3 linked regions of the Arabidopsis thaliana genome follow. The protein of the gene in region 1 interacts with the protein of each later gene in a pairwise test. Each region holds a gene or a part of one and is shown on either strand. Other genes may lie near its edges.

Region 1 (4,857 bases):
GATCTCATCTGTCTAGACTGCAGTCCCGTGGTATATCTTATGGCAGCAACAAAGGTATATTTTCTGCTCTTGTTTGGTTTTCTTTGGTAAATCAGGTTTAATTGTGAATCTACCCCTTTTCCAACTTGTATTACGAGATTCTGATTCATATATGACTTATGGTTTGCGTATGTAATATTCAGATGATGAAGAAGCAGAGCAACTTTCTAAGGAAATCTCCAAGGACTGGAATACTGGTAATCCATATGATCTAGACAATTTTACTTTTTTTCTCCTTTCTTCTTTTCTTGTACGTCTATCTTCCTTGGTGTTTTCCTCCCCGAGTATTAGTGATTCCTGATATTCTCAAATTTGTAGTCTTTGAACGGAGCATAAACACCCTGTTCCTCACAGAAATGGTCCGCGGTTTGTCGCTGACCCTCAAGTACTTCTTTGATCCAAAAGTTACTGTGAGTGATATCTTTTCTAGTCTTCCAAACTTAGATTGAAAGAAATCTGTGTTACTGAAGCTCTTTCGTGTATGCAGATCAATTATCCATTTGAGAAGGGTCCTCTGAGCCCTCGCTTCCGTGGTGAACATGCTCTTCGAAGATATCCTACCGGGGAAGAACGCTGCATTGCCTGCAAACTCTGTGAAGCTGTGAGTTTTGAGATCGATATGAATCCTTCATTTAATTTAACGTTCTCTTTGTTCTGATATGGTACTCTGAGTCTATCAAATTCATCTTAGTAATTAGGAAAGCTATTTGAGTATGAGTAATATTTACTGTTTAGTCTCTAGAGTTCTGATGAAATGGTCATATTAGCTGACAATGATCTATTTAGTGTGTATAAAAGTTCACCACGGATTGTAATTCTTGTGAGGGATACTTGTCCTTTTCATCAGGTATGTCCAGCTCAAGCAATCACAATAGAGGCAGAAGAGAGGGAAGATGGAAGCCGCAGAACCACTAGGTCATCATCCCTTTAGTTCTCATTTATCAACCATCTGCTTTCTTTATTACCCTTTCATGATGATTTGAGCTGTATCGTACAGGTACGATATCGACATGACAAAATGCATCTACTGTGGTTTCTGCCAAGAAGCTTGCCCCGTTGATGCAATCGTTGAAGGACCTAACTTTGAATTCGCAACCGAGACACACGAGGTCTGTTTTTCACATTTTCTAGACCCTAATAATTTTCGAGGCATGCTTATTGAAATTTTTGTTATATTCTCTATGATAGGAACTTCTCTATGACAAAGAGAAGCTTCTTGAGAATGGAGATCGATGGGAGACAGAGATTGCTGAGAATCTGAGGTCGGAGAGTCTCTACCGCTGAACCATTCTACAACAGTCTCTGCTTCATTCAACTTGTTTTTCCCGGGGAAACATTTTCGTTGCTTCTGTTTGAAAATAAAGACGAGATCATATGCGTGTGAAAACTCTTTTGTAATCCAGATTTTGTGCTGTGTAATTGAATTGTTTGTAACCAACCTGACTTTGATTTTCGGTTCATGAGTTCCGGTTATTAGGTGTTTTCGGTTCGGAGAAAGAGCATTTAATTTGGTCAAAGACTGAAAACAGATAAGTCTTAAGCTACAAGGGTATATCTGTACATTAAGAAATATTTGATCGGACGGACAAGATCATGTCTTTTTTTTTTTTACGGCGGACGGACAGGATCATATGCTTATAGTTTATCCTAATCTGTCCGATCTAAACATAATGCTTGTCGATTTTTTCATTTATTTGCCTTTTGGTTGCGCCAATTATCGTATTCAGACAGCAAAATTAATATTTTAATGTGTATTTTTTGTTGAGTTACTATTTTAGAAAAACAACGAATCCCTAGAAAGGAAAGAAAAAAAAAAACAAAATCCCCAAATCGAGCGAGTCCAAAGAAAAATCCCAAATTCGACGAACCTACAAGCCCAGAACATCCCCCGATTTGGGAAAACCTGAATTCATTCGCTTTTGATTTGCCATCTTCTTTCTGGGATTTGTCTACTGCTTGATCCTAATTTCTGACCTCGCTTTTGGTTTGAGTTCACACGTGCCGCATCGGCTGTTCACCGGCTTTGTTTCATTGTGCAGACTCCAATCATCGTACAATCTGTAGCAACCGGTTGGTCTCCGTCAAATTTCTCCACTTTGTTGCCAAATTTTACTCCTTTTTGTATCAATTCAAAGATTGGGGGTGAATTTTTAGGGTTTATCATTTTGTTCATTTTTGGTAACTATTTTGGGGTTTAATTACTTCTTTAGTTGATACTATGATTGATACTATCTCCCAATTAATATGAGATCAAATTGTGACAATTTCAGTTCTCTGATTACACCAAGTTTTTTTAGCAGGACATTCTCTAAGGTGCTAAATCAGGAGATGAAATTTGGATACTGTGACTTCTGGAGGAGAGGAAAGTTATGCAGTGTTTGTTACTGTTAATTACCAGAAGAACTAGGACAAGGCGACGGAGACTGAAGAGGTAGCTATGAATGTTCAGGCTCACATGTCGGGGCAGGTTTCAAACCAAGGGACTATGTCCCAGCAAAATGGGAACTCCCAAATGCAGAATTTAGTTGGTGGTGGTTCAGCTCCTGCTACTGGTGCTGGTTTAGGACCTTCACGCGTTTCTCCCGTTGACAATGACATCTTGAAACTTCGGCAGGCTATGCGAATCAGGATGTAAGCCTTTGCTTTTCTCAAGCTTTTGACTTTGGTGTCTTCCCACCATTTTGCAGTTATATTTCCTTGCTCTTGTTATACGGCTATTTATTTTGGATTGGATTCAATATCTCCAGTTTATCGCCAATCAAATCCGTGTATTTCTCTTCTTTCTTTTCAGTTTCAATATCTTACAGCAAAAGCAACCATCTCCAGCTGATGAAGCATCAAAGGCTAAATATATGGATGTTGCTAGACGCTTAGAGGAGGGGCTGTTTAAAATTGCTAACACAAAGGTATTTATTTAATATACTTAAGGAAAGGATAGGCACGTATTTGGCATTTAAAATTTTGCCACTAGATCCAGCTTGTTGGCTAATGTCCTAACTTGAAATTTCTTGTTAACGTGCTACACTTCCATTTTGAATCGCAGGAAGATTACGTGAACCCGTCAACCCTTGAACCTCGGCTGGCAAGTCTAATCAAAGGCAGGCAGTTAAATAACTACAATCAGCGACACGCTAATTCTTCTTCGGTTGGAACAATGATACCCACTCCAGGATTACAACACAGTGGTGGGAATCCAAATTTGATGATTACTTCCTCAGGTGATGCTACAATGGCTGGAAGTAATAACATCACAACTAGTGCTATGAACACTGGAAACCTGCTAAATTCTGGTGGCATGCTTGGAGGTTCTTTCACTACAACTTATATAAAATATGGGCATAAAATTTTCTGCGCATATTTTTTCTGAACACCTTTACTTCTCTTTGCAGGTAACCTGTCTAATGGATACCAACATTCATCGAGTAACTTTGGTCTTGGGTCTGGAGGGAACATGTCATCCATGAGCTCCCAGAGAAATACCGGCCAGATGATGCCTACCCCTGGATTTGTCAACAGTAGTACTAATAACAACAGCAATAATGGCCAGTCTTACTTGAGTGTTGAAGCTTCCAACAATAGTGGTGGATTTTCTACTGCTCCCATGATGGTACCTCAGACTCAGCAACAGCAACTGAGGCAGGATATTGGTGGCCAAAATAGTCGTATGCTGCAAAACCATGGAAGTCAAATGGGTGTTGGCCTTAGACCTGGAATGCAACAAAAATTGTCTAATGTGTCTAACAGCTCCATAAATGGTGGTGTTGGAATGAATGCAAAAAGCGTAGATTCAGGTACATCCTACACCAATCCTATCAGAAATTCACAGCAGGCTTATGATAATCTTCAGCGTTCAGGAATGCAGGGTAAAGTCTTTATTTCCCATCCCTAAATTGTAGTTTCTAACCTCTTGTTGTTGTGCGTATTCATCAGAATATTTTAATTGTTATGTTATTTTACCGTTTCAGGTGATGGATATGGCACAAACAACTCTGACCCATTCGGATCGGGAAATTTGTATGGTGCTGTAACATCTGTTGGGATGATGACAAATACTCAGAATGCCAATACAGCAAGTTTCCAGGCTGTGTCTAGAACTAGCTCTTCTTTGGTAAGCAATCCATGGAATTCACTTTGCATGCAGCAAAGTGCACCAGTGAAACATCAATCTGAGAATACCGATTTGTAATCATCTTTCGTACCTTTTTTGCAGTCACATCAACAGCAGCAGTTTCAGCAACAGCCTAATCGGTTTCAGCAACAACCTAATCAATTTCACCAACAGCAGCAGCAGTTTCTTCATCAACAGCAATTGAAGCAGCAAAGCCAGCAGCAACAGAGATTTATAAGTCACGATGCTTTTGGGCAAAATAATGTGGCTTCTGATATGGTTACTCACGTTAAACATGAACCTGGAATGGAGAACCCTAGCGAGTCTATCCACTCCCAAACTCCTGAGCAATTTCAGCTTTCTCAGTTTCAGAATCAATACCAGAACAATGCAGAAGACCGTCATGCAGGTTCTCAGATTCTCCCTGTCACAAGTCAGAGTGATATGTGCACATCAGTTCCTCAAAATAGCCAACAGATACAGCAGATGTTGCACCCGCATAGTATGGCTTCAGACTCTGTCAACGGTTTTAGCAACCTCTCTGTTGGAGTGAAAACAGAATCTGGGATGCGTGGTCACTGGCAATCTCAGTCACAGGAACATACTCAAATGTCTAATAGTATGTCGAACGAACGGCACATTCAGGAGGATTTCCGACAAAGAATGTCTGGAACGGATGAAGCTCAGCCCAATAATATGTCTGGAGGCTC
Region 2 (5,354 bases), on another chromosome or scaffold:
AATTATATATTTAACCAACCTTTAAAATAATGCCACACTTGACAAGTGACATATCGATTTAGTCTGGTCATCAACTTTTCACAAGCCAAACTCTTGAGGTCAGCATCGACTAATTTTAGAGTGAGTAAGTACGTTAATAGCAGTTCCATATATCCACCACAAATAAAACATCGTACCGATGTTCAGAGTCTAAGTGTTTGGGCTCCCTAAAGCAAAAAATATTATTGACCCACCAATAAAATATTACACAAACGGCTACACTGTAAGGAGATTTCTTAAATTTGATGCCCTAAAATCATAATATATTTATAATGCCTAAAGCATTTGCTTGTTGAGCTTCCGTTTTAGGCACAATACATCGAGTTTGATCATAATTAATGGCACATAGATGCGCATTTGATGACTTCATAAGAATTAATAGCTTCTGGAAAAATTAAGCAATTTTATATTTCTGAACACAATTGTCGATCATACAGAAGGAAAAGAGGGGGGGGGGGGGGAATTGCTCTCAATACTTGTTGTTTGGGAAAGAAAAGAAAAAACAAAAAAAAGCCGTAACTAAAAAATAATGTAATAAAAGAAAAACAAAACAAAATCGACCGATAAAAAGTCCCTAACTAAAACTTATAAAAAAATGTTATTGCCTATTGTCAACGTTGCTCGTTGTAACATTACTGTTATTGTTGTTCCCATTCTGCTGATTGTTCGAACCGTTGATAATCGAAGTTATGGCTGCAGCTAGAGCCGCGGCAAAGTTGGGATTGGAGGCGATTGCGGCAGTAGCGGCGCTAACACTCTCACCAGCGTTTAGCGGCTGAGACGGCATATGTAAACCCGAAAACTTAGACTGTTGGTTGTAGTACAAAGCCTGACCCATCATATGAGGCAAAACCGATTGGTTCAACTCCACCAAACCAGACCGTTGAGAGAATTGCATCAGCGGGTTATTGGTTGGATTGTTCCCGTTGGGTGACTCTGTGAGGTCTAATGTAATGGTTGGGAATGGTGCAGAGGCTGAGATAGTAGCCATGCTTGAGGAACACGGTAATATGGTTCGAGCCAAGAGATTTGTTGGGTTCATTAAACCGTCTTGGTTCGACATGGTGGAGCCTGAGAGAAGCATGCTTGCGGCTGCTGTTGTAGTTGAAGCCATGTTCATAGCCGCAGGAGGTAATGGATGGTTATGGTTTCCTTCGTAGGTTGTTATGAGAATGGTTCTATCTTCCGCGCAACGTTGCACCTGTTAGGTCATCATGAGTTTGTTACAATACATTATTTTTTTTTTCTCTAAATTATTACACTTGATTGATCACCTTCAAACATAATTTTAGATGTGTGAATTGTTTAGGTAACGTACTTGCTTGCGAACAGGACATCCAACAGCCATTGTGCAACGGTAATAAGCTCGAGGGCACGGGTTTCCTTTCGCCATTTTTTGTCCGTATTTTCTCCATTGACATCCATCGCTTAACTGTAAAACAATGTCATTGATGTTAATGAACCTCCAAAAACATTTGTAGAGATCAATCTTCATAGAAATTCTAGAGAGGAAGATTAATTAGTATTACCATGGGAGCTTCGGATCGAGCACGAACCGAGACACGGGCTTTACGCATGGTGGCTTCGGCGGCCGCTTGCTCAATGACCTTGCTACTTGCATTTTCACTGCCATTGCCACCGCAAATGCTGGATGATGCATGGTGTTTAGGAACTTTGTTAGGGTTTCTCCAGCCGTTGGATTCGGTTTCCGGGCTTTCTTCTCTTACAAGCACTCTCTTTCCGTTTTGACGTGAGCTAGATTTCTCTAGAAGCGAGGGAGGAGATCCCGACCGAACCGTCGTCCTCTCCTCGGACGACACTTCGTCAGAATGCGGTCCCAAATCGATGAACTGTCTTGGAACCATTTCAGGCACTTCATGTCGGTTCTTTACATTGTCATTGTTCTCGGTCGTAGCCTGATGAAAAACAAGGGTATAAAATCTTTAACTAATTATATGAAATAAATGATTAAGACGTATTAGAGTGTTAATTAATTACTAGGTGATGATGATCTTCTTGTTGCCTCATGACAGCAACAAGTTGCATCTGCAAGGAATTGAAGTTGTTGGTTGTTTGACTTAGCATTTGCTTTAGTCTTTGATTATCTTCACTCGCCTTCTTTAGCTCTTCGCGAAGTTGTGCATTCTTCATTTTATTAAAAAACAAAAAAATCATGTATCAGACATTAAATCATTCTAGTAAGAAAGAGTAAATCTCTCTAACATGTCCGGATCTTACGGACCGATACGAACAACATATAAAAATAGAATGTCTAAGTCTACGAAAACGGTATATTTTTACTAATTCTTAAGAAATAAAAAATTTGTAGAGAAAATCAGAAAATATCTTTTTATGCTTAATTATGTGACAAAATGAAGATGAACAGTAAAAATAATCAAAATTTAGCATAAAAATATTTTTATTTTTTTTGTCATCAGATATTATTTAAAATTCTGACGAATCAGAAAAGCGGAAAATTGTTTACGTACGTAACAGACGCACAAAAATATACACTCTTGATGGTTTTTGACAATCATTTTTTATTTGTTGGATTTTGACAATCTCTTTTTCTTTGGTTCGTGCGATAAATACACTAGTTGTGTCTTTTTTTTGTTATTATTACTCAAAAATGATCTATACTAATTGAATAATAAGTGTACCTCACACTTTGTACGTTTCTCTTCCATATCCACAGACAATCCATCATCCACCATTGACTCGTCGCTTCCCGTATTCGCAGTGAGAAGATTAAGTCCAATCTATTTACAATAATCATACACATTTCAATGAACAAAGTTTTCATCTATATAACGAAATTATTGTTTTATAATATTACTAACTAAAATCCGAAGTAATTAAATGATATTGACGAAAAGGAAAACAATGAAGTAACCAACGAGCTGTTGGTCCAGTGGTAAATTTCTCATGTGGATGTACTGGGTTTGATGCACGTTGGGAACGATCTCTTCTCCAAAAAAAATGAATTTAATCTAATGTGGGTTTCGCATATCGGAAATGTAGAATTTTTAGCTTGAACTTCTAGATAATAAAAAAAAAACAAAGAAAACAAAAGCGATGAGTTAACCATCTGCTTACATTGATGTGATCAGTAGAACGATCGTCATGATCATCAACACGTGAATTCTCCCTTTTGACATGAACCCTATGAGTCTCATCGGCGATAATGTTTTGTTCTTCACGTGAAACCCTATCTCTCTTCTCCGCTGATCGGAAAAAGTCAACCTCATTCACCACCGCACGTTGATGCTGCTCATCTGATGGCTTCAGATTCTCACGTGGACCTCCTCCAAGACTTACCGGAAAACGAAACATCTCTATAAATGTAGATATCTTAAGATCTTGATAGATATCTTAGATTGTTTTTTTTTTTTGTTACAAAAGTATGAATGAGTACGTACGGATGATGATTTGCTTGATGTTAAAATTTGATATCCAAATTTCCGAAACCCTAGTAACCAAAAAAAGGATATGTTACGTATCTAATCCTTTATATCTAGAGTGTGTTTTGTGTGTGAGTGATTGTTCCGTACCATATCTAATCATCCATATATAGAGAGGTGAAGAAGAAGATATCTTAGAAGAGAGAGATATGAGAGATACTTTGTCTAGTATGTGGTTAGAGACGAGGATAGAGAACCAGATGCTTCGGCTACAAAAAGGGTTTTGACGTGGACTCAGATATTGTCAATTTTTTCTACTAATATTATTTATAACTCTCTTTTTTTTTTTAATAAGCAATATTGTTATATAAAGACAATATTGTTGTCTATATTTGTTTTATGTCTGCTTCTACATAATAATATCGGTTTAAATCTTAGATTCTCGTGGAAAGATATTTGTGAAGATTTGTTTTGGTTCGTTTTTCGTCAGTGTCGACGTCATAGACCTATATTATTAACAAACATGTCATTTTTTTGTCCAAAGTTAACAAATATATCATACGACCCAACAATTTGTTTTATATTACAGACGTGTTGTTGGATCAAGCAATTCGAAAAGAGTAAAACTAATCAACTGTTGCTTACGAGAGGGAGTTGTGTGCTTTTTTTTTCTTTTTTTTTTGTCAACGAAGAGGTATGATTTATTAAAGAAGTTGTTTTTTTCCTTAAAGCCACTTCTTGCGGTTTGCTGATATTCTTAAAAAATTAGGTTGATTCTTCTCTTAAAGAATTACTTGACGTATTATGATAGAAAATATAGTAAATTGGAGAAAATGTACCATTAAAATACGTTTTCGTATCCTAGCAAAATTCTATATTTAGTAAGATAAGTTGTTATTGGGTAAATTAGCAAACACGTATTATATATTAAGGTGTAAAGTTTCGTGTTTTCTGATAGTAACACTTACTATCAGATAAATTAACATGTTGTTTGTTTAAATCATACATAAATTAGAATTTTAATAATCATATAATTTGTGTCAACAATGTGGACTATCCACTATAACATAACGAAAACACTAACACAACCTATAACAAAATCCTCGTCAATCAATCATAAAATTATATTTCTATAGACAAAAGTCGGGGTCATTTTAACTAGTTAATGGAAATGCATATGTTTTGATTAATACTTTTTTGTACTCGAGTAAAATTGAATTAATACATGAAAGACTATTGTTTTTGATTAACTGCAATATTTTACTGTTTTAACATGTCATAAGCAAAAGAAATACAAAACGGCACATTTTATTGAAATACAGTGATATCAGATAAATTAACATGTTATTTATTTAAATCACCCTTGAAATTTTTACTAATTTGGGACTAAACTGTAATCATCTAGAAGATTATTTATTCAAAAAAGTCAAAGTCACTTGACTAATATTGGAAAATGGTTAATTACGTACTTCATATACTCTACTAAAAGTTTAATTAGGAAAACAAACAGAGAAAACGAAATTGAATTTTGCGTTTAAGTGACATAATTTGTTTAAACAACAAAAGTTATTTTAACTAATAAACAGATAAAAAGAAATAAAAAGTACTAAATTGGTAAATTATCGTAGTATCATCTAGAATGTTTTTTTTTCTTTAAAGGGTTTAGTTATATATATTGGGATTATATAAATTAATATTGACCAATCTATTCTACTGAAAAATCTCACCGAAGAATATTTTTTCTAAAAAAAGCACTCTAATCTACGAAATGTTTTCAAAGACTTTGTCCTAATTAGTAAAACTTTGAATCCTTGGTTGATAGTCAAATATAGGAGCTTTAGATAAGAAAAAACTATTTTTAGCATAATTCTCATAATAGATTTTTCTTTTTTTTTGGACTAAATTACTTAAAAT
Region 3 (4,588 bases), on another chromosome or scaffold:
TCGTACCTCTCATTTTCTCTTTCTCTGTCGGTTGAGATCTTTTGACATAAGGGAAGAAAAAAATATCGTATCTTCAGTGTTCTGCAAGAGATTCTAATGGTCTGACTTCGTCTATGTGGACCCAAATATCTCCATATACATACCAAATGCTATGTTATGTCACGTACATGTCTCGATATTCGTATTGGCTAACATTTACTTATTACATATGCAAACAACACACGCTTGCTCCATCAATCATAACACCTTTCATTGCTTCTTTTTACTTTATACTTCTAACTAATCTTCTACTGTAATTAATAATCATCTTTACAAATCCCTTTCTTAAGTTCCAAGCAAAAGAAAGAAAACCCCAATTAAACAATTACAACTTTAATAAATGACGCTCTTGAAAATTAGTTTATGCACCATTCGTTATTATGATTCGATGGCCTTAAAATAGAACTCTGGATTTGGTGAAAAACAGATATGATGTAATCAAAATATATAACAATAAAGAATGATAGAACCTCTTATCTTTCCCCAAACTAATAATTGGACAATAATATTAGTAGATTTTCCATTATCCAGAATTCAGCTATAAATAGAAACTGAATAAAACAAAGGAAAGAAGAGCATGGGACCAACTCTTGAAAAGAACTTCCAAGTCCGTTCAACAATATAATAAAAACAAATCACCAAACCTATTATCTTTAGACTAATTAAACTCTAATGAGAACCAGCAGCAGGTCGTTGCCGTAGAGGCATGGCAGCCCACGGACTCATCGGACCCATCGGAGACGATGAATTCATCACAGGAGGAGCCACCGATGACGAAGATGACGTAACAGCGACTCGCTCGCAAGAAGGACACATTGTGAGAGTAGTGGGAGGTTTCATGTGCATGTATAAGTGTGGAGAAAGCTTTAAAGCCCTAAGCTCACTCACTTCCTTTTGCAATCTCCGATTCTCATCCGTTAGATTCTCGCAACATCTCTTAAGATATTCACAGTCTACTTCCGTTTGCTTCAGCTTCGTCCTATAAACACACACACAAACAGTCCAAAACATTAAAATCCGATATCCGGTTTAACTATCCGGGAAAGAGAAAACCCGAAGTACATTTGTTTCTTGTATTCGAAACTGGCGGTTATTGTTCTTGAACCGGAAAACTGAAAACACTTTAACCAAAATTTGACTCAAAAACAACATTGGCGGTTTTAATTCTTAAACCGGGAAAACTGAATAGCTTAAACCAAACCTCCTAATTTAAGACATGAGAGACCCATTAAAATCCTTTAGGATAATCTTATGGGTCATAAAATGGACCATTACACATATCACCATCATAGCAATAACTACTAATGTTTTATTTGTTGGACTATATAAAATTTACGAAAGTAACCCCTTAAAATAGAATAAAAATTTCTACCTTGCCCTTCGGTTTTGGAACCACACTTCAACTTGTCTCGTCCTCAGATTCAATTGCTTAGCCAAAGCCATCTTTTGCTTCTGCATCCAACAACAACAAAAAAAGTCAATGAAAAACATATAAAAAGTCAACCTATTGAAGAAAACTACGGAAATGCCACTGACCGGATTGAGTGTACTATGTTCTTTAAAAGTTTCTTCAAGAACCAAAGCTTGTTCTTTAGACAATCGGAGTTTCTTCCTCGAACTGTCATCTCCGTTCCCGCTACCGTCTTCATCGTCGCTACCACCGCCGAGCGAGCAAGAAGCTCTCTCAATCTCATTATCTTCTACTCTACCTCCTCCAACTGCACCTGCCGCAGCCATTAGCTCTCGCTCGCTCTTCTTCCCGCTCATCACGCTTGAGACGGTGCTGTTCGGAGACGAAACTCCGGCGCCTTCATCCTCCACGTCAACCACCACCGTCGATGGAGCTCTGTTCACGTCTATTCCCCGGAGAAACGATCTCATGTCCGAGTTTCTCTCTGCACGTTACGTTAATCACGCCAAATGATTAAAAATCACAAACATATCAAGAAAATTTTATCTATTATAGGATAAAGTGTAATAAAAAGATCGGATCTAAAACAAAGAAACCTATAATCTTAGACATGAATCTGGATTAGTAAAAGGAGGTAAATACCTGATGACTGAAACATGTTAATCCAAGTGTTCTGAATCTTTTGAGGATGGTTATAATTGCTCTGCTGCATATGCTGCATGTGTGATGAAGATGCATAAGAAGCCAGAGGCATTGGATTTAACCTCGAAGACGGGTCCTTTTGATTAAAACCTAAACTCAAGCTCAAACTTAGCCCCAATCCATCATCTCTTTCACTCATTTTTCTCAACCCCAGAAAGAAGAAAGAAGAATTCTGTCTGGGTGCTCAAGATTTTTAAGCGAGGAAATGAATAAATGACTCTTTCTCTCTCTCTTTCTTAAAGATGTTGTGCCACTGCCTCTACACTTGTGCAGCAGTACAGTTTCAAAAGATATGGCTTATATTTATTTATATATGCAAAAGAGTTTTTTCAGACAAAGAGATATGGGGTTGTGGGGAGGCTTAGGGTTTCAATGATGACTTGTGTCAGAGAGACCTCTGTTACCTCAATGATGATATATACTGCATAAAAACCTGCTTCCTTCTCTCTTTATTTTAACTTAACCATGGTTAAAATTAAAACCAGGAGTTATTACTTTCACCTCACATCCCTTTTCAACCATGGTTAATTGATTTATTATAAGAAAAAAAAAAGTCCAAGTCTCTTGTTCTTTCTCTATCATTTTCCGTTTGGTATATTGTAAGTTGTCACTATTCTTAATTACAAAATAACCTATGAGCGTTTTTCAAATATTATATTAGATTCTTATACATATGATAAACTCATTCACCCAAATCCATTCATGTGAGGTTTTACTAAATATAGATAAAAGCTGAGTTTCTACTTTAAAAGATACTAAAGATTAGTAGTTGACAATATAATTGAGTAGAGATTTTGTGTACCCGAGTTTCAAAGTAAAGAAAATGTAAAAGAAGCTCTTTTTCAAAAACACACAAACAAGCATAATTGGCTTTTTGTAATGTGGCTTTCATTACGAAAGCGGCTTTCTCGCTCGTTGACCGTTGACTGATTGAGAGGATTAAAAAAGCAGCGACCAGACGGTAAAATCCACGCGCTCGTGAGGGTGATCAAATAATGATATCATATCATAATAATTAATAAATCATCATCATCATCAGTATCATTATGAACATCATCATCATATCATGCCTTATTGTTATCATCATAACTTTACTTCTCCCTCTGACCATTGGGGTCCTACGTATCTCAAAAATAATGCAGCTTCGCTTTAATATTAGTACTCTTAAAGCATAATTTGTAGTACTGTATATCAAACCATATAATTGTACTTCCCATTTTAACATGGAATTATATCCTTAAAACAAATCTCACCCACTCTCCAAATTCACCATCACTTGTTAACTTGTTGGTTAGAAAAGGTTCTTTAAGTTAGCTTTATGGTGAATATGTTTCATCATTGGCATTCGATTATGACAACTATTTTTTTTTTTTTGAGAAAAGATCAGCTAAATTATGTTTTTCTTAGTAGTTTTAAACCATTCTATAACCTTTATTGGGTAAAATTATATAACCTAGTTACAAACCAAACTTTCTTAAAGAATGAAATGAATTATTATTCTTCAATGGGTTATTGTTAAAATGTGATTATGAGGATGTTGGAATAATAGGTAAGCGTGAAAGAATAGATACGCGCGAATGGGCGAGTGTGAGGTGGGGGGAGAATAAGGCGGTGGGCTCAAAATGGGTATGGAATCAGGAGGGGGCAGAGATACGGTGTCGTATAGATAGGTTACAGAGAACCTAAAAGCCCTAAACACTGCATGGATTTTGAGTTGTCTGCGAATCCAACATGCATTCCCATTCCATGCCTCCCTCCTTCATTTATTGTTCCTTTTTCCCAATGTGATACCAAAAGATAATTAACTTTCTCATTAATTTCATCTGTCAGTCAAACATAAATAAAAACGCACGACAAGTGGTGTTGGCTGATTTTTATGACTAATAAGAGAGTAATTAAATTACTATTTAATTAATGATGACTCCATATATGTTATTGATATTGCCATCATTACTTCTGCCTTCAGTCTCTTCAAAACTTTCAGCAGTTACACAGACAAGACAGGTCAGCTCTATTTATTTAATTTCCTGCTCGTGTTTAATTTATATGTTTGATTTTACATTTACACAGGAAACAATCTAAACATAACCCTTCTTCTCATTTATTTTCTCCATTAATAACACTGTTACTTAGATTTTTAGAAAACACCAAAAAAAAAAGCATTTGTGAAAATAGAAAGACAAAATATATTTGATCAAGTTTTCCTTTTATTATTAACACACTTATTCAACGCAAAAAAAAAAAAAACATAGCCAAAGTTTATTTGTTTTACCTCTTTGTTATACGAGAGACTTTCAAGCTCTGAAGTCTATGGAAATTCAAGTTTTGTTTGTATTTTATGGAATGTAAAAATTGTAGTAGATTTTTTGTTGACAATTTGTATTGTTATACAAAATAAAATAAATTATTTTTATCGACCGAATAGATATATTGTGG

Evidence for each region.
Region 2: the proteins of HAC1 (region 1) and WRKY42 interact in a two-hybrid assay, tested with the Arabidopsis thaliana proteins (one large-scale study listed by BioGRID).
Region 3: the proteins of HAC1 (region 1) and HAT3 interact in a two-hybrid assay, tested with the Arabidopsis thaliana proteins (one large-scale study listed by BioGRID).

The regions. Positions count from the first base shown.
Region 1 is NC_003070.9:29,721,604-29,726,460, reverse strand, and holds the start of HAC1 (histone acetyltransferase of the CBP family 1), read left to right. Parts: upstream 1-1,825; 5' UTR 1,826-2,109; intron 2,110-2,336; exon of another isoform or gene 2,337-2,339; 5' UTR 2,340-2,476; coding exon 2,477-2,670; intron 2,671-2,830; coding exon 2,831-2,945; intron 2,946-3,082; coding exon 3,083-3,344; intron 3,345-3,428; coding exon 3,429-3,902; intron 3,903-4,004; coding exon 4,005-4,147; intron 4,148-4,249; coding exon 4,250-4,857. Other genes in the region: AT1G79010 (Alpha-helical ferredoxin), read left to right, coding at 1-54, 183-236, 358-449, 527-640, 887-954, 1,037-1,148, 1,228-1,323. UniProt on the Arabidopsis thaliana protein: Acetyltransferase enzyme. Acetylates histones, giving a specific tag for transcriptional activation.
Region 2 is NC_003075.7:2,216,397-2,221,750, reverse strand, and holds WRKY42 (WRKY family transcription factor), read right to left. Parts: upstream 3,710-5,354; 5' UTR 3,373-3,709; coding exon 3,136-3,372; exon of another isoform or gene 2,799-3,135; coding exon 2,700-2,798; intron 2,185-2,699; coding exon 2,038-2,184; intron 1,956-2,037; coding exon 1,569-1,955; intron 1,472-1,568; coding exon 1,358-1,471; intron 1,241-1,357; coding exon 638-1,240; 3' UTR 501-637; downstream 1-500. UniProt on the Arabidopsis thaliana protein: Transcription factor. Interacts specifically with the W box (5'-(T)TGAC[CT]-3'), a frequently occurring elicitor-responsive cis-acting element. Modulates phosphate homeostasis and Pi translocation by regulating PHO1 expression.
Region 3 is NC_003074.8:22,320,080-22,324,667, forward strand, and holds HAT3 (homeobox-leucine zipper protein 3), read right to left. Parts: upstream 2,583-4,588; 5' UTR 2,292-2,582; coding exon 2,093-2,291; intron 1,935-2,092; coding exon 1,576-1,934; intron 1,492-1,575; coding exon 1,412-1,491; intron 1,019-1,411; coding exon 709-1,018; 3' UTR 501-708; downstream 1-500. UniProt on the Arabidopsis thaliana protein: Probable transcription factor.